2 linked regions of the Saccharomyces cerevisiae S288C genome follow. Changing the gene in region 1 together with any one later gene gives a genetic interaction. Each region holds a gene or a part of one and is shown on either strand. Other genes may lie near its edges. The genes, in order: HAL9 and NNF2.

What was found.
Region 2: mutations in HAL9 (region 1) and NNF2 together harm fitness more than expected from each alone (negative genetic interaction), as found in Saccharomyces cerevisiae (2 studies listed by BioGRID).

Annotation. Positions count from the first base shown.
Region 1 is NC_001147.6:149,898-155,470, forward strand, and holds HAL9 (Hal9p), read right to left. Parts: upstream 3,594-5,573; coding exon 501-3,593; downstream 1-500. Other genes in the region: mismatch repair ATPase MSH2, read left to right, coding at 1-379; protein disulfide isomerase MPD2, read right to left, coding at 4,015-4,848; DUF1 (Duf1p), read right to left, coding at 5,390-5,573. UniProt on the Saccharomyces cerevisiae protein: Putative transcription factor involved in halotolerance.
Region 2 is NC_001139.9:651,500-664,947, forward strand, and holds NNF2 (Nnf2p), read left to right. Parts: upstream 1-5,460; coding exon 5,461-8,271; downstream 8,272-13,448. Other genes in the region: PDC6 (indolepyruvate decarboxylase 6), read right to left, coding at 1-1,482; CTT1 (catalase T), read left to right, coding at 3,135-4,823; rRNA-processing protein UTP22, read left to right, coding at 10,859-13,448.

The sequences.
Region 1 (5,573 bases):
CACGTTGTTATACAAAGTTGAGCCTGGTATTTCAGATCAGTCTTTTGGTATTCATGTTGCAGAAGTTGTTCAATTTCCAGAAAAAATTGTTAAAATGGCTAAACGTAAAGCCAATGAATTGGACGATCTAAAAACTAATAATGAAGATTTGAAAAAAGCTAAGCTATCATTACAGGAAGTTAACGAAGGTAATATTCGTTTGAAGGCTTTACTGAAAGAGTGGATTAGAAAAGTGAAGGAGGAGGGTTTACATGACCCAAGCAAAATTACTGAAGAAGCTTCCCAGCATAAAATACAAGAGCTATTGCGTGCTATAGCAAATGAACCAGAAAAGGAAAACGATAATTACCTGAAATATATAAAAGCCTTGTTGTTATAATTAATATTACAACGACATCTTAAGTGAGAATCGATAGATAATATATAGATACAAATAGTACATATAATATGCATTGGGAAAGAATTTTTATTTTTTACAATCTTTGTAGACAAGGTACAGTTTATTCATAATCCCTAAAAGTGTTCACGAAAGAATAATCTCTGTCATAGATCAATTTTCCTAAAGGCAATAAGGCTCTAAAAGCTTCGAAATCTTCCTTTATTCCACTGTCACTATTAAAATTAGAATTTTCAGGGGTCTCTAGACCACTGGAAAGAGTATCTCCGGTATCAGAACTATGGATGGGATAAACAAGAGATGTTAGGTCCGAACGAATTGGGTACAAAGATGAGTCATCAGATATTCCTTTCCTATTTGAAGATGGCGATAGGTCTCCAAAATTTGAGATGGGGGAGTGAGATTTTAATAGTTTTAAAATTTCGACTGATAACTCTCCAAATAAGTTTATTGGTGCTTCCTCCGCAAAGTCTTCTGAAGAAATATCATTCGTATTCAGTCCATCATCGGCGAGATCGGCTTCGTTGCCCTTTTGTAAAGAATGGAGAGAACCATATGATTTTAGACTCATAATTAGTTGATCGACTGTTTCATCTTTTATCTTTCTTGAATGCATAATAACTTTCGTTATCGTTTCATCATAAGGTTTAGAATCAAATATTGACGTAGAATCGTTCAAAGCATGATAACGTTGCAAAACGTATTTCAAAAAGTGGCTGTAGAACACAATCAAAGTGTTCCATTTGACATTGTCAAACAGTAACTGCTCATCATTTTCTCCCACTAATCGATCATAAGATTTTTTTAGGATATCGATGATCTCTTTTACCTCACCTTTCTTTTTTAGATCGTTCATATTATCCACAACGTAAAAGAAGAGAACAAACATAGCAGTAGAGAACTGATACATAACCTCGTTATACATATGCGCCTGGTAATTGATGCCTTGAAACAGCTGTAACATTTCTTTACTGGCGTTTAAGTATTGACTTGAAAAAAGAATGAATAGCTGAGGAATATCATGGCGAGAACCTTTGTATAGGCGTTCGTTATCAATCAATAAGGATGTAGTCATCATGCTCAAAATCACTTTAGAATATAGCGCCCTAAAATGACAATTCAAAACACGAGAGCATGCAATCTCAAAACTTAAAGCCGGATTTTCTTGGGATTTTTGAGCGTAAAGTACCGATAAATACTGTTTATAACTTTTTAGTTTCATACTTACGTGCAAGTTGTCTCTCCAATTGTTCAAAGAATCATTGAGATCTTTGATTTTATCAAGCATGGCATCGAATGAAAGATCTAGAGTACTTCTGACAGCAAAACAAGTAGAGTATATTTTACTCTCAATACTAACCAATTTTGAAACATAATATGATATGAAAAGGGATATGTGCTGACAAAAATTTACAACTACATTCAATGCAGAGTTGACATCAGTAATTTTATCGAGATCTTCCTTTTTATCAATAAGATCAGGTAGAATATTAGTTTTTATCACTTCATAATAATTTTGATCTGTTAGCATATCCATATCGCGTTCCCCCACAATAGGGGGTCTGGATAACATTAAAGAATATAGTTTATCTGTACAAAAACAATGCCACCACATTCTTCTTCTCCTTATGGCTTCTTCAAAGTCTAGTGACTTGTAAGAGGATTTTCTATTTAATTCCATGTCAACCGCCAATCTAATCGCGGTTCCTAAAATACAATTTGCTAGTTCAGTATCGTAGGTAAGTTGAAAATATCGGTTCAGTAGTAATAAAGCTTGTAGTGTTCTTGTACCTGAACAGATGGTGGACAGCTTATGATAATAATACATGGCATTTAGTAAGGCAACGTTTTCGATTTTTTTTAACTCTTGGGAGGTTGGATCATATCTATCTTTCCTTAGAAACTTTGAATCACCTCTTATAATTGATTGAGTGGCAGATGCACCCGAGCAGAGACACACGTTTAATAATAAATGTTCAGGATATGTGAGTTTTTCGCCGCTTTCGCTGTAGTACTTTTCTGCTAAGTCTAGACATTCTTTTAACGATATTATACCAGTTACAGAGGATAATAAGGTAGCATGAAAATTCTCAAGAAGTCTCTTTGCTTGCTTTTTCGGAGGTAATGAGTATAATATTATTTCGCTGGAGAAGAAAGCCGGAGATGACAAATCCATAAATTTTTTCATTTGAGTTGCATACCATTTTAAAGATATGCTTAATATTTCGCTGATTGGAGAAAGAAACTCCTCATTGGACGCTTTCACTCCTAAACTTTGTTTGAACCAATAGAGTTTTTGAGCAGTTAAAAGTGCCGTAGAGTATATTTTTCTCGCTGGTTTGGGCAAATTGTTCTTTTCCTTGTATTTGCCTTCCTGCTTTTTAACAGCCTTGTCCAATAACCACTCAAGTCTAGCCACACTGTCAATAATGTAAGACATTTTTCTATCCAATTTTTCAATCTTTGAATTCATTTTTTTGTTAAGATTATTTTGAATATTGGAGACTTTATCGATGATATTGCTTTCTAAGGGGGAATTACCGTTTAAAAGTTCAAACCTTCCACTGTTCGGTACTGAAGAAGACGCTACAGGATTGCTAATACTATTTGAGGTTTGAAGTGATTCCCCTGGTGTTGCATGATGTTTGATTTCTAATTTTCTTTTCTTCTTAAGAATCTCATCACGATGTTTGAAAGTGCAAGGCAACTGAAACTTAATACAGTTTGAACATTTTTTGGTCTGCTGGTCCACTTCATCACATCTGATTTTTCTTTTTCGGCAATGGTCACAGGCCTTTGATACACGTTTCTTGAGATTTTTACCAGAGCCGCTCATATCATTACTGTTAGTGTGTTCCATCATCGTGCTGATGTCACGGTTCTGTTGTGTCTGAAATTGCGACTGATGCTCTGTTGGCGAGTATATTGTATTGGGATAAGCCACATTCATGGGGATATTTGGACCTATTGTACTACCTGTCATAAGGGTGTTTTCTCTGTTAGGCATCGTCATCAGTTGATCTGGCACAGGCATCGACCATATTTGAGTTTCAGGAACCAGACGTGGGGTACCAGTTTGATGGTTTACATTTGAAATGTCACTTCTACCGGTGATTTCATTGTTAAAAACCGCATTCATATTGCTTGCTGAGTTTGAAAACCCATTTGGGCTGTAATCTCCACCTTGATTTTCCATTATTTCAAACCGAAGATTTGGAGTGGAGAGTGCTGATTTCCTAAGTTGAATTAAAGTACGATAATAAGCTCCCTAAGACATTTATTCTTTTTTCGAATTAAAGGCTTTTTATATAAAGCCATCTTTCATGTACGTAATTGGAGATTATACCAAAACCAAACAGGGTAAGAGATGTTTCTCTAATGAATAAAATAACAGTGTTACCTTAGCACAAGCCAATATTCAAAACACATGTGGTAGACCTTCTGTAATATTTATGTATATCTCCATAATCTTTCACCTACACAATCTCACTTATATTGCGGCTAACGTACATTGTTAAATATATATGTATCTGTGTATTTGTTGTACCTCAGGGTGAGGGTCCCGCTTCCGTCTGTAGTCGGTATTCGTAAAGTAAAAGACAGAGCGAAGCTTATGTTCAAAGCTCGTCATGACTACTGGTATCTTCTAACTGGTCTTCTATGTGTGATAATAGGCTCAATTGTAGACGAATGATTTTCAGTTTTTCTTTAACTTCTTTACTCAAGTCATCTCCATTTTGCTTAATTAAAGCTTCTAGTCTTCGCCTTTCCTTTTCCAGCCCATTCACGTCACCGTATAATTTAGATAAAGTATCAGAGTAGTATTCTTTACCAGCTTTACACAGAAGCTGTTGAGAACGTAATTCTTCATTGCAATTCCTAGAATCATCGAAAATATGTTCTATGAATCTTTCTTCTGTATCTTTACTTCTTACAGTATCGATAAAGTTGCTTAAACTCTTTAGGTTCCTACTCCCTTCAAAACGAACAACCCTAGACGTATCCAGTTGGTACTTAGGATTGTTGAACCACGTCTTGATTCTTTGCCATAGTCTTTCATGAAATTTCATAGACGACCAATCGAGCTTCGGAAGAACTAAGGGCTTAGTACGAGGTTTGACCAGTTCAATTATTGGAAATCCAGGCAAGTCGGTACATAAAGTTGGCCCGAAGAATTCACAGTTAACTTCAAGGAAGTTAATTGGGGTATCATCTTTATTAGCTTTTTTGGCGTATAGCTCACCAAGCTCTTCGTATACTGGGGCCAGAGTTTTACAATGTTGGCACCAAGAAGTGTAGTATTTTATCATTGTGTAAGAATCATTCCTATTGCAGATATCGAAGTACTGCTCAATCGACTTGACCATCGTGACAGCTTCACTGTAGGCCAACGCTGGTAAAATGACGACGCATGTTGATAATACGGAAAATAAAAAGCCGTGCAATTTCATCTCCTTTGTGTTTTACTTTGCCGACGTACTTGCACTAGACTCGCTGTGTTTTTTTTCTGTTGTTTTGTTGTTATGCTGTTCTTTAGCTCAAAAAATTGGCCACTGTTCCCCGCTCTGTAAATTAATTGCTCTTAAAGAAACAAAAATGATTAAAAAAAATTAGAAATATTTGAGATAATAAGAACATCATTCAGGTCGCCCATATTCACAATTATTTACAGACTGTATTTTAATGAAGAATGTGTGCATAACTTGATGGTACCTATTCAATATAAAATTTGATAAATAAATAATATTATAAAAATGTCTATGTAATTATTATAAAGCTCTAGAGTATGTATGAGTTGTTACACATAGCATTCCAATGAGTACTTGCTTTTTTCTTCGTTCTTTAGACATTTCAGAAGAATATTCTTTATCTTGTCATTGTTACTGCAACTACTATTATAGTATTATTAGTATTATTGTTGGTATTGTTACTATATATTTACGCTTAAAAACTCCAAATTCAGACCCCAAAATATAATTTAAATAAACATTATCATTTCCCCTCATTCCCGTTGACCTCATGAACTAGCGGTGAATTATGTACTTTTCTTCTGTATTCTAGAACTATGTCACCCTGAGATTTCCAGTAAAGTGTTCTAACGGTATTTAAAGTCATATCGTTATCAAGCACTTGGCCCCTACATAGTAGATCCAACCAAAGACTAGGTTCCATTTTT
Region 2 (13,448 bases), on another chromosome or scaffold:
ATCCCAGGTCTGGATTTCGTTGTACTCTGCGTGAGGCCCATGAATCAGCTTTTCGATAGTGTAGCCGTCGTTGTTAAGGACAAAAAGATACGGCTTTAACCCCCATCTGATCATGGTGGAGATTTCTTGGACGGTTAACTGCAAAGACCCGTCACCTATGAATAAGATGACTCTCTTGTTGGGGTCAATCTCCTCAGCGGCAAAGGCAGCACCTAAAGTTGCTCCTGTTGTAAAACCGATGGACCCCCACAACACCTGCGAGATACCGTAGGCGTCCTTAGGAAAGATAGTTTGATTGATACCGAAGGCAGACGTGCCGGTCTCGGAAATGATAACATCACCTTCTTGCAAGAATTTGGACAATTCGTTCCACAACCACTCTTGTTTCAAGGGCGTGCTAGCAGGTACACCTTTGTTTGCGGGAGTTTTGGTTGGTACGGGAACGCTCTTGTAGCCCTTAACAACATCGGGAATAACCTTCAGTAAGTTTTGTAGTGCAAATTTCATTTGTACACCGAGGAACGTAGCGTTCTTCACCTTTACGTAATCGGAATGAAACTCCACTACATTTTTAGTCTTGTAGGAGTAGGAAAACGAACCTGTGTTAAAATCAGAGAGCAAAGCACCGACCGAAAGGATCAAATCAGCCGACTCAACGGCCTGTTTCACGTCTTGTTTGGACAGCGTTCCCACATAAACACCGCCATATCTGGGATGCTGTTCATCTATTGACCCTTTACCTAGAGGTGTCACAAAAGCTGGGAATTGCGTCAAATCAATTAACTTCTGGGTTTCTTTTTTAACGTTGTGCCTAGAAGCACAGGCATCCGATAGTATAACAGGGTTTTTCGAATTCTGGATCAATTCTAGTACGGTATCAATAACTTCCTTTTCAGCTTCGGGATCGTTAGGTTTTAATGATAGATCAATCGGTTTTTCCAAAAGAGAACCAGGAACCTTTAGATCTACCAAATTCGCTGGCAACCCCAAGTAGCTAGGCCTTTGTGTTATAAATGTTGTCCTGATCAACCTATCGATTTCTGAAGGGGCTGTAGCAATGTCTGTAATCATTGATGTAGTTTCTGAGATATTGGCGGACATTCTGTGAAAAACGGTAAAATCACCGTTACCCAAGGTATGATGCAACAACAATTGCTTAGCCTGAGCGGAGATAGAGGGGACACCAACAACATGCAGTACACCGACGTGTTCTGCATACGATCCTGCAATACCATTCAAGGCGGATAATTCACCTACGCCAAAAGTAGTTACCAGCACAGATAAACCCTTGATGCGTGCGTAACCATCGGCGGCATAGGCGGCGTTCAGCTCATTTGCATTACCAGCCCATCTCAATCCATCTACCTCGTAAATCTTGTCCAATAGGGACAAGTTGAAGTCGCCTGGTAGCCCAAAAATGGTGTTAACATTAACTTGCTTCAATCTTTCAAATAAGTATTTTCCAAGAGTAATTTCAGACATTTTGTTGGCAATATGTTTTTGCTATATTACGTGGGTTTTTTATTTATACTGTATATAAAAGAGGACTGCAATAGCACAAGATTAAGATAGAATGGCTTCAAACAGCCGCCTTTTATACATATTGGTAAAAGCTCGCGAATCGCACCATATCCCTTATCCTGTAATCAAATCGATCTAGGTGCAGATACAGATCAATTCATAAAAAGAAATTGAAGCACCAGTTTATCACTACTACACTATCTTTTTCTTTTTTTTTTTTTTTTGCGAAGTTTCGCCCTTTGTTCAATATCACTTGATAAGTTGTGGGCTTTTTCTGTCACTCATTCGGCTTAAAAAGTATTCGTTCTTTTGTGTTTTATGAAAAGGGAACGTGATATAAAAAAACATCCTTTGGTGTGGGACATGGGCTTTTGTTTAGAGAATGGTTATCACTACCGCCCCCACCCTTGAAAGCCACAGAAAATGAAAAAGTATGTGAATAAGGTGTGAACTCTATAACATTTTGGCCAAATGCCACAGCCGATCTGCATATTCCAATGGACATAATGCAACAACAATTGATGTCACATTCTCTTACACACTTCGATTGGTCCGTACGTAGTACTTTTTACATAACTGACTCAGGCGTTTCCTTCATTGAAATGCTCATCTATTGCCAAGTACATAGAATCCACAGTGCATAGGTTTATGAGATGCTTGGAAGATGTACGATCGCCTGCACTATATTAGTATATTTTTTCAGGCTTTACAAAACCAGAAAGAAATTACCGACTGTAATACTTAATTTCCATGATTTTAATCGTATGGTCCGTGAGGAAAGAGGAATTTTAGGTAAAAAAAAACCTTTGTCTATCAAAACATAAAAGAAAAGAAAAAAATTAAATTGAATAAGTCAGCTTTTTAGCATGACCACAGTAATAATAGTAATACGATATCAGCATGAGCTGCTAAACATTAAGAATTTTTGAATTGTGTTCGCTGGTAAGAGAAAATAGGGTAGCATTAGTTGCGAGATGGAAAATTAAAATATGCGTCATAAGGTATTTTCGACGTTGAAGATTAGGGGTTGCAAGTCCGAGAACTAAACTGCCTTCACGACGTCAAACTTATTGTATGGTGACAATAAAACGAATTCAAGAAGCCAGAGATGATGAGGAACCGATGACGAGGCACATGGGGATAGAACCTCCGTTATCTCCATTCCGCGTTGAGCAGCTCTCCTGCGTGCTTTCACAGAGACCCTAAGCCAAGACCGCGGACGGCCCTCTTTTTCAAGGGGATCACCGGTAAGGGGCCAAGCGGTGAAATTGCGTATTGTTTCCTCCTATCAATGATGAGTACGTCGCCGATCCAGAAGGGTTATTATTGTCATTGCCAGTACTATTCGTATGCTGAAAAAGTATAGTTCACTTCACCCTCTGGCTGCAGGCTAGCCTAGCCGATAATGCCCCCGACTCCCTCAACAGGTAGAATTTGTAAGGATTCGACGTAGCCTGGACACATTGTGCATTTATCGTATCCCCTACTGCTACACGTATAAGAAGTCGTTGCTTTACCTCTATTCCAGAACTCAATCTTGTCGTTACTTGCCCTTATTAAAAAAATCCTTCTCTTGTCTCATGCCAATAAGATCAATCAGCTCAGCTTCACAAATGAACGTGTTCGGTAAAAAAGAAGAAAAGCAAGAAAAAGTTTACTCTCTACAAAACGGTTTTCCGTACTCTCATCACCCATACGCTTCTCAATACTCAAGACCAGACGGCCCTATCTTACTGCAAGACTTCCATCTGCTGGAAAATATTGCAAGTTTCGATAGAGAAAGAGTTCCGGAGCGTGTAGTCCATGCCAAAGGTGGTGGTTGTAGACTGGAGTTCGAACTAACAGATTCTTTGAGTGATATTACATACGCCGCTCCATACCAGAATGTGGGTTACAAATGTCCTGGTCTTGTTCGTTTTTCCACCGTTGGTGGTGAAAGTGGTACACCAGACACTGCAAGAGACCCAAGAGGTGTTTCTTTTAAATTCTATACCGAGTGGGGGAACCATGACTGGGTCTTCAACAATACTCCCGTCTTCTTCCTCAGAGACGCTATTAAGTTTCCCGTATTTATTCATTCGCAAAAGAGAGACCCTCAGTCTCATCTGAATCAGTTTCAGGACACTACCATATACTGGGATTATCTAACATTGAATCCGGAATCAATCCATCAAATAACTTACATGTTTGGTGATAGAGGTACTCCTGCTTCGTGGGCTAGTATGAACGCGTACTCTGGTCATTCCTTCATCATGGTCAACAAAGAAGGTAAGGACACATATGTGCAATTCCACGTCTTGTCGGATACTGGTTTTGAAACCTTGACTGGAGATAAGGCTGCTGAACTGTCAGGCTCCCACCCTGATTATAATCAGGCAAAGCTGTTCACTCAATTGCAAAATGGCGAAAAGCCAAAATTTAACTGTTATGTGCAAACAATGACACCCGAACAAGCAACTAAGTTCAGGTATTCGGTAAATGACCTAACGAAAATATGGCCACACAAGGAATTCCCTTTGAGAAAATTTGGTACCATCACCCTAACGGAGAATGTTGACAATTATTTCCAAGAAATTGAACAAGTTGCATTCAGTCCAACGAACACTTGTATCCCAGGTATTAAGCCTTCTAATGATTCCGTTCTACAAGCCAGACTTTTCTCCTATCCAGACACTCAACGTCATAGATTGGGAGCCAACTATCAGCAATTGCCCGTCAACAGACCAAGAAACTTGGGATGTCCATACTCCAAAGGTGATTCCCAATACACTGCCGAACAGTGTCCATTTAAAGCAGTGAACTTCCAAAGGGACGGCCCAATGAGTTACTACAATTTCGGTCCTGAGCCAAATTATATTTCCAGTTTACCAAATCAAACTCTGAAATTCAAAAATGAAGACAACGACGAAGTATCTGATAAGTTCAAAGGGATAGTTCTTGACGAAGTAACAGAAGTTTCTGTGAGAAAACAGGAACAAGACCAAATCAGAAACGAGCATATTGTTGATGCCAAAATTAATCAATATTACTACGTTTATGGTATTAGTCCACTAGACTTCGAACAGCCAAGAGCTCTATATGAAAAGGTATACAACGATGAACAGAAGAAATTATTCGTTCATAACGTTGTTTGCCACGCTTGTAAGATCAAAGATCCTAAAGTCAAAAAGAGAGTTACGCAATACTTTGGTTTGCTAAACGAAGATTTGGGTAAAGTCATTGCAGAATGCTTGGGAGTTCCTTGGGAACCTGTTGACCTTGAAGGTTATGCCAAGACTTGGTCCATTGCAAGTGCCAATTAAGGCAGCACTATTTATTCATAATTATTCGTAATTATATCTCCATAATTATTTATTCATAAGTTTTCTTTAAGTTTATTCTCTACATCACTAGTTATTACAAATTGGTCGTATGTACAAGCACTAATATTTCATACTTATCGTACTTCATACATAGCAAATCCTGTTAGGAAAAATATGGCAGCAAAACAGATTGGCTGCCTACTTTTGACACATTTTTTTCTAATTCGGTACTTAGATCGGCATGAACTCAACGATTATCGCATTATACGGACAATCTGAAAAAAAAAAGTAGCCTAACTTATGCAGTTGTGTGTTTATAACGTTGAATTCCTAAACCTCTTGAAGGTGTAATATAACAAGTAACATAACTAGGTTTTCACAACTCGTTAGTTTCTATTAAAAGAGGAATAAACAAATTTTATTAGGACTAAGAGGATTATACAGAGTACCAGCAGAGAAAACTTTAAATTCTTTCTGTTATAATAATATCTTACCAAAGTTTTTTGTTTTCTATCTCCACATTTTTCGTACCATCTCTTTAGGTAATCACTCTGAATAACTTTTATTCATATACACCCCAATATTTTTTAAGATTCCACCTATCTCCGTTACATAAAAGGATCCATGCACAATTTTCATGGAGGAACAATTTACTAATCAGAAGAAAGTATCACATCTACAGTCATTAATGAACACTAAAAGGAGTGAACAGCCCACCGAATTTGCCAAAAAACATAGGTTTAAAGATACGCTTGCATTGTTCCTGGTTTTTTTGAGTTTTAACCACTTCACTTCCCTATGTTTATTGGTTTCCTTTATTGTTGCTACCAAATGCAAAGATTTTCTGGCAAATTGTTTTATTATACTTTTCCTATCGAAAAAACCTTCCCGCCATATCGGTGAAGTGGCGCACATAGATATAAGTACTTCCAAAGTGACCAATGGTAGTTCAAACCGAAAATCTAATTCACGATTTTTTGGCAATTCAAAAAATAGCTTCGTCATTCCGATCCCCGTATTAATTTGTGAAATTTTATTTGCAATGTTACTAAAGATTTACGGTGGCGATTATTTTGTTAAGCCAATAAAAAATCTGGCAATTTCTATTATTGCCTCATTTTTGATCAATGATCCAAGCGATTGCTTAAGCTATGCAACTTCATGCTCAGTATTGTATGCTGTGTCAACTAACACTTTTCAAAGAGTGTCACACTTCTTTGACATTATACAGTTATTTGATATGTCTTTACGAGGAACCGGCCAATCAATTAAATTATTCACGGTTTTTCGCAAGTATTCACAGTTTTTCAAAAAGCTTTTCTCTCTATTTTTGCCAATGCCTTTCAAGATGCTTGGCAAACATTCAGACAGTATGATTTATTATCTATCCTTTCACATCCTTTTTTTCTCATTTGCTTCAAGTTTATTACACCCTCATAGACAAACAGCGGAAAACAAGCCATTGAAAAAGGGTTTCAATTCAACTAAACCAGATGTAGCCCGTGTTCAAGGTCTGCAAAAGATGAGAATTTCTTCTTCTTCTTCCGTTTCTGCCGATTCGAACACTTTAGAGGACCAAAGTCCTATGATACCGAACGATCCAGGTGGACTTAGCAGCAGCAATCAAACTATCCATCCATCCCAACAAAATAACTCGCCAGTTCCCCTATCATCACACAGTAATATTTTGAACCCTGCCGCCTCTTATCCTACTGATGCTACTTCTAGTTTTCCCTATTTCACTTCTATGGTCAAGGAATATAAGTCATATCAGCCATCGGTAATCTCTGCTGAAGGAAGCAATTCTCAAGCCGTTACTACTACTACCAGTACAACAACCTCTCCTACAACGTTCAACTTTTCTGGTGATAACACTAGTTTGTCAAATGAAATCTCTCTATCTGATTCCTCGAATGGAAATTCGAAAAAGGATTCTGATTTCTTTTCCCCTTCCAATGACAAGTATACTAACCAACTGTTTGAACTGAATGTTGATTTTGGGAACATGTTTTCTTCTAGCAAATTATCTTCAGACATATCTGTTACATCAAACTTGGAAAATTTTATCCGTCTTCTATTCAGAAGAAAGAATCAACACTTGATTGCACCTCTTTGGTCTATGGTAGTTACATTAAAAACAACGAATTTTGAAAAAAAATACTTACAAGAAACCTCTGAAAATTCACTAACACCAACAAATTCGAATACTTCATACGTCAGTAATCAGGAAAAACATGACAAAGATTTGGACACGATTAATACACATTCAGTTTCATCAAGAATTAGTTTCACCCATGCCGGAAAGTTTAAGAAGAGCGTGTTTAACAATTTCGAACCTTCAAATACTATGGCCCTGATTGCAAAGACAACATCTGATGACTACAATCTTTTAAATTTAGTTTCCACCAATGAAAATATTTTCAATAGAAATGATAATGACTACAAAGTTTGCATTATTGATATTAGCACAAACTCTATTACATTCCATATTGAAAATTTACATGATGGCGAACTCATTGTTTTAGTAAACGGTGTTATCTGGTCAGAAGTTTCTTGCGCTTTAATTTTAGAGCATGTAGGCGAAGAATACGTTGTCGTTAACGGATTAGTCCCTTCTTGTTCTTATGATATTCAATTCATCAACAGACTAAATCACCGAGATGATTATTTGGTTTCTGATTTAATTGTAAGGACTTGTGGGAATAACAATGCGATTGCCGGAAAATTTGAAAACCTTGATTTCAGCTTCCCTTCATACTACCATAGGAAATTCTTATCTCCGTTGCTAACTCTGAAGCATTCCGTGCTAACTACAAACGCAAATTTGTCCGATGAAAGGACAAAATTGAAAAAGACAAAAAAGGAATTCAGCAAGAAGTTAAGTCTTTTGAGACAAGAAATTGATTATTTTAAAGGCAGGATTTCACAGAACGCAACACATGACGAAAAGAGCACTTTAAAAGTCGAAAATTTGAAGGTTGCCCTACAGCAAAGTGAGACTGCGGTAAATAAGTTAGAGATGCAATTGAAAACTCTCACTGAAAAAGAGCTTGAATTAGAAGAGGAATACTTGAAAAAGAAAGATCTACACTTGAAAAATCAATTAGAGTTCAGTAAGTTAGAAGAAAGCTTATCGAAAGACCTGAAAAACTCAGAAGGGAGGTTCCAAAAGGTCAATCAAGAATTAGTTCAACTAGGCTCTAAACTGGACAAATTGAACGCGAGAAACGAGAAGTTACAAAAGGAGGTCGATCAGAACGCAGAAGAGATAGAAAAGTTCAGTACTCAATTTTTGAGTAAAAGAGAAAAGGATAGATTTAGAAGAAAGGAGTACAGGATACGCGAAGCCAATAAATTTGAATTGACTATAAAGGGGTTAGAGCAAGATATCAACAGATTAGAAAATGAGAATGAAAATATACATAGTCTAATTGGTAATAGTTACTGATGGAAGATTAGAAAACAAAGATAGATAAGAATTCGTTTTGTAGCATCCTAAAATTTACTTCTATTGAATATATACATGTATTTATTACTTGGACGTTCTACTTTAAATGTAGTCAGTCGTTTTTTTCTCGATATTGTTTTTTTATTGTTTCCTAATAACTTCATTTGTTACTTTTTTGCCTTTTGTTATTTATGGAAATAATGCAGGTTAACATAAGTAAACATAAAATATGAGAAAAACTAAGAATGTTTGCTGATGTATTGAACAGTTCACATCGTTGTGTCTACTATTAACACTAAGTTGTTGATCAAAACATTCCCTAATTAATAGCTGCCCCAGGACTTGGAAGGCCACACTACTCTCCATGACATCAAAGATACGGCCCAAATAATCTGTATCCTCGATATGAACTTAGGACCACATATTTGGAGCTTGTCCAAAATACTAAAATGGCAGATAACAATTAGATGGTTCCAATTCAAATACATTACAAGCTACGAAAACTAATATTCTATAATTTATACTAAGTTCATGGAAAGAATTGCAATGGATTGAGGTTTCTAACGAGGTTATCACTACCGCAAATATAGAGAGTAAGTTGGTAATATACAACAATAGAATTTAATCAATAACCAATCTCAACATTATTGTATCGTATTTTAACTTATAATTGTGCTCATATCAAGTTTTCTAGGTTACAATTACGACCAATTCTCAGGTTGTTTTGCAAAATTGGCGAAGAGATGGAGGCCTACCACATATTATCACGATTTGATAGGGATAATCTGAGTAACGATTAGTTATTGACGAATCCCTTTAATATAGTTTCCACACGAGAATAGGCGCCTACTAAAGAATTGATGAATCTGCTGGTAATTTCTAGGTTTCCATTATTCGGTAAAATATACGGAATGTATTAGGGGTTCTTCATGACGATCAAAGATCCATGAATGGAGATCGGTATTTTTAAGTAATAGTGCTACTATTTTTTTCCTTTTTGCATTCTGTCGTTCAATATCCTGTTACATTATTAATCTTAGTTTCGGATTCCACTGAAATCAATAACTATATCCCATGGCTTGGGCCTTAATTCTTGTGTCATATACAATAATATGCTAGTGCCGTGAACACTAGCCAATGAAGAAATGATCGTTTTCCAACACATACCGGACGTGGCTCTGATAGTGCTCGACGATGGAAATTTCAGCATGCATACTGATGTATGTCAAGATAACAACTACAGTCCTATCGTCGTGATTATAGGGAATCGACCGCGCCACTGCTATGACAACGGAAAGTTTATCCATGGCCTGCTGATTTTGATGCTGCTGTGGACACGAGAATACCAACACCTGTTCACATCTTCATGTGGATGAACGTAACGAAGTGGATATTTAGGCTCGGTAGCGAATCTTTTGCCGTACCTCCAAATTTATCTTGTATCGATTTTTCCGTCTAGTTGAAACTGTTATTATCCGCCCCTCCAATTTTCTGTAAAGCATAGGTGCTTCTTCAAAGTATCCAATGTATTTCTTAAGCTTATCAAGAAATAACATACTTCGAATACGTCCCAAGTTTTCTGATAACTTTATCATATTCTTTTGGCTAATTGGCGATCGTTTATATACCCCAGTGATTTTGGTTATAAATTTATAATATAGTTCAAACTATCCTTCCTTTAGAACAACTGTAAGCTTTAATTTTGAGCAAGCGCTACCATTTGATATATAGCAAACTAACCAAAATGCTAAGACATCTTCTAGTCTAAAAGTAACTCTTTTTCTGTGTATCTAATTCACATTGTGAATTTGAAAAGTACCCTTATTTGTATATATGTTGGTTTTGATGGTAGGTGACCTCACTTTTCTTTAGAAAATTTGCAATTATAGTTTTAGACAATCCCTTTATGTTTCATGTGCGTATTCATTATTTTTAACAAATTCCTAGTTCTCAAATCTGAGTCTCTTGGTAAAAATTTGCCTCCTTAGCTTAGTGGTAGAGCGTTGCACTTGTAATGCAAAGGTCGTTAGTTCAATTCTGACAGGTGGCATAATTTTATATATCTCTTTTTTTGCTTGTTGTACGGAAGTTCTGTCCATCCGGTGGGCGACCGGTATAGAATTATCGCGCCATCCATGAAGGTTGGCCCAGGGCCGAGTAAAGATTTAGGCAGGACCGGTGGTGGCCACTGCCTGGGAACGTCGGCCTACGGCTCGCTGCATGCCGTTGAAAAATTTCAATTGTAATTTGGAAAATTTAACCAAATGATAATTTCAATATGTACCACTAGCACTTTACGTCAAGAATCTCAAGCAAACCAAAGGGTTTTAATCTTATACTTTTCCATTCTATTTTTTAATAGAATTTAAATCGGCAGCTCTTATACTTGGAAACAGGACGTTTTCATTTTGCTTTTTTGAAGGCCAGATATTTGCTTTCACTTTAAGAACCAACTCCAAGAAATCTTCAAAGTTTCCTTTGTTAGATTTATCCTCTGATTGAATTATTGAAACCACAGGTATAATCACTTTGGGGTAGAACATTATAGTTTTCATAGAAATTTTACAAAGGATCTCCTTCATATACCATGGCTACAAGTGTTAAAAGAAAAGCATCTGAGACTTCTGACCAGAATATTGTTAAAGTGCAAAAGAAACATTCCACACAGGACAGCACAACTGACAACGGATCCAAAGAAAATGATCACAGTAGTCAAGCCATCAACGAGCGTACCGTGCCCGAGCAAGAAAACGACGAAAGCGATACTTCACCTGAAAGTAACGAGGTCGCTACTAACACTGCTGCGACTCGCCACAATGGAAAGGTTACTGCAACAGAGTCCTATGATATTCACATAGCTAGAGAAACGGCTGAATTATTCAAGTCTAATATTTTCAAGTTACAAATTGACGAATTACTGGAGCAAGTGAAGTTAAAACAAAAACATGTTCTGAAAGTCGAAAAATTTCTACACAAGTTATATGATATTCTCCAGGAAATTCCTGATTGGGAGGAAAAGTCATTAGCTGAAGTGGACTCCTTCTTCAAAAACAAGATTGTTTCTGTTCCATTTGTTGACCCCAAACCTATTCCTCAAAATACTAATTATAAATTCAATTACAAGAAACCAGACATCTCCTTAATTGGCTCCTTTGCTCTTAAAGCTGGAATTTATCAACCTAACGGCTCTTCCATTGATACTTTACTAACAATGCCAAAGGAGTTGTTCGAAAAAAAAGATTTCTTAAATTTCAGGTGCTTACACAAGAGGAGCGTTTATTTAGCATACCTAACCCACCACCTATTGATATTATTGAAAAAAGATAAATTAGACTCATTTTTGCAACTCGAGTATTCTTATTTTGATAATGATCCGCTTTTACCAATTTTAAGAATTAGTTGTTCCAAACCAACGGGTGATTCTCTTTCTGATTATAACTTTTACAAGACCAGATTCTCTATCAACTTGCTTATTGGTTTCCCATACAAAGTCTTTGAACCAAAAAAACTGTTACCCAATAGAAACTGTATTAGAATAGCACAAGAAAGCAAAGAGCAATCTTTACCAGCCACTCCTCTTTACAATTTTTCAGTGTTATCTTCTTCAACACATGAAAACTACCTGAAGTATTTATACAAGACGAAGAAACAAACAGAATCTTTTGTTGAAGCTACTGTTTTAGGTAGATTATGGCTGCAGCAACGTGGGTTTTCATCCAATATGTCGCATTCTGGTTCATTGGGTGGATTCGGTACTTTTGAATTTACTATCTTGATGGCAGCGTTATTAAACGGTGGTGGTATAAATAGTAACAAGATATTACTTCACGGGTTTTCATCATACCAATTGTTTAAAGGTGTAATAAAATACTTAGCCACTATGGATTTGTGCCACGACGGCCATTTACAATTTCATTCTAATCCAGAGAATTCCTCCAGTTCACCAGCTTCTAAATATATTGATGAGGGTTTCCAAACTCCAACCTTATTTGATAAGTCAACCAAGGTCAATATTCTTACAAAAATGACTGTTTCTTCTTATCAAATTTTGAAAGAATATGCCGGTGAAACATTGAGAATGCTAAACAACGTTGTTCAAGACCAATTCTCAAATATTTTTTTGACTAATATTAGCCGTTTTGACAATTTGAAGTACGATCTGTGTTACGATGTACAGTTACCTTTGGGTAAGTACAATAATTTAGAAACTTCTTTAGCTGCTACATTTGGGTCAATGGAAAGAGTAAAATTTATTACTCTGGAGAATTTCCTCGCCCACAAGATTACAAATGTTGCAAGGTATGCATTGGGCGATAGAATCAAATATATCCAAATTGAAATGGTTGGTCAAAAGTCCGATTTTCCAATCACCAAAAGAAAAGTGTACTCTAACACAGGAGGTAACCATTTCAACTTTGATTTTGTAAGAGTAAAATTGATTGTTAACCCCTCTGAATGTGACAAATTAGTCACCAAGGGCCCTGCTCATTCTGAAACTATGTCTACAGAAGCAGCCGTTTTTAAGAATTTTTGGGGAATTAAATCTTCCTTAAGAAGATTCAAGGATGGCTCCATCACCCATTGTTGTGTTTGGTCTACATCCTCATCAGAGCCCATCATTTCCTCAATTGTTAACTTTGCATTGCAGAAACATGTTTCAAAAAAGGCACAAATATCAAATGAGACTATCAAGAAGTTTCATAATTTCCTACCGTTGCCAAACTTACCCTCAAGTGCTAAAACATCAGTTTTGAACTTGAGCAGCTTTTTCAACTTAAAGAAATCCTTTGACGATTTATACAAAATAATTTTCCAAATGAAGTTACCGCTTTCTGTAAAATCAATCTTACCGGTTGGCTCTGCATTTAGATACACTTCCTTATGCCAACCAGTACCATTCGCATACTCTGATCCAGATTTCTTTCAAGACGTCATTTTGGAATTTGAAACCTCACCTAAATGGCCAGATGAAATTACTTCCTTAGAAAAGGCTAAAACAGCTTTTCTTCTCAAAATTCAAGAAGAATTAAGCGCTAACTCTTCAACTTATAGGTCGTTTTTCAGCAGAGATGAATCCATCCCATACAATTTAGAAATTGTAACCTTGAACATCTTGACACCTGAAGGTTATGGATTCAAATTCAGAGTTCTAACTGAACGTGACGAAATCCTTTATT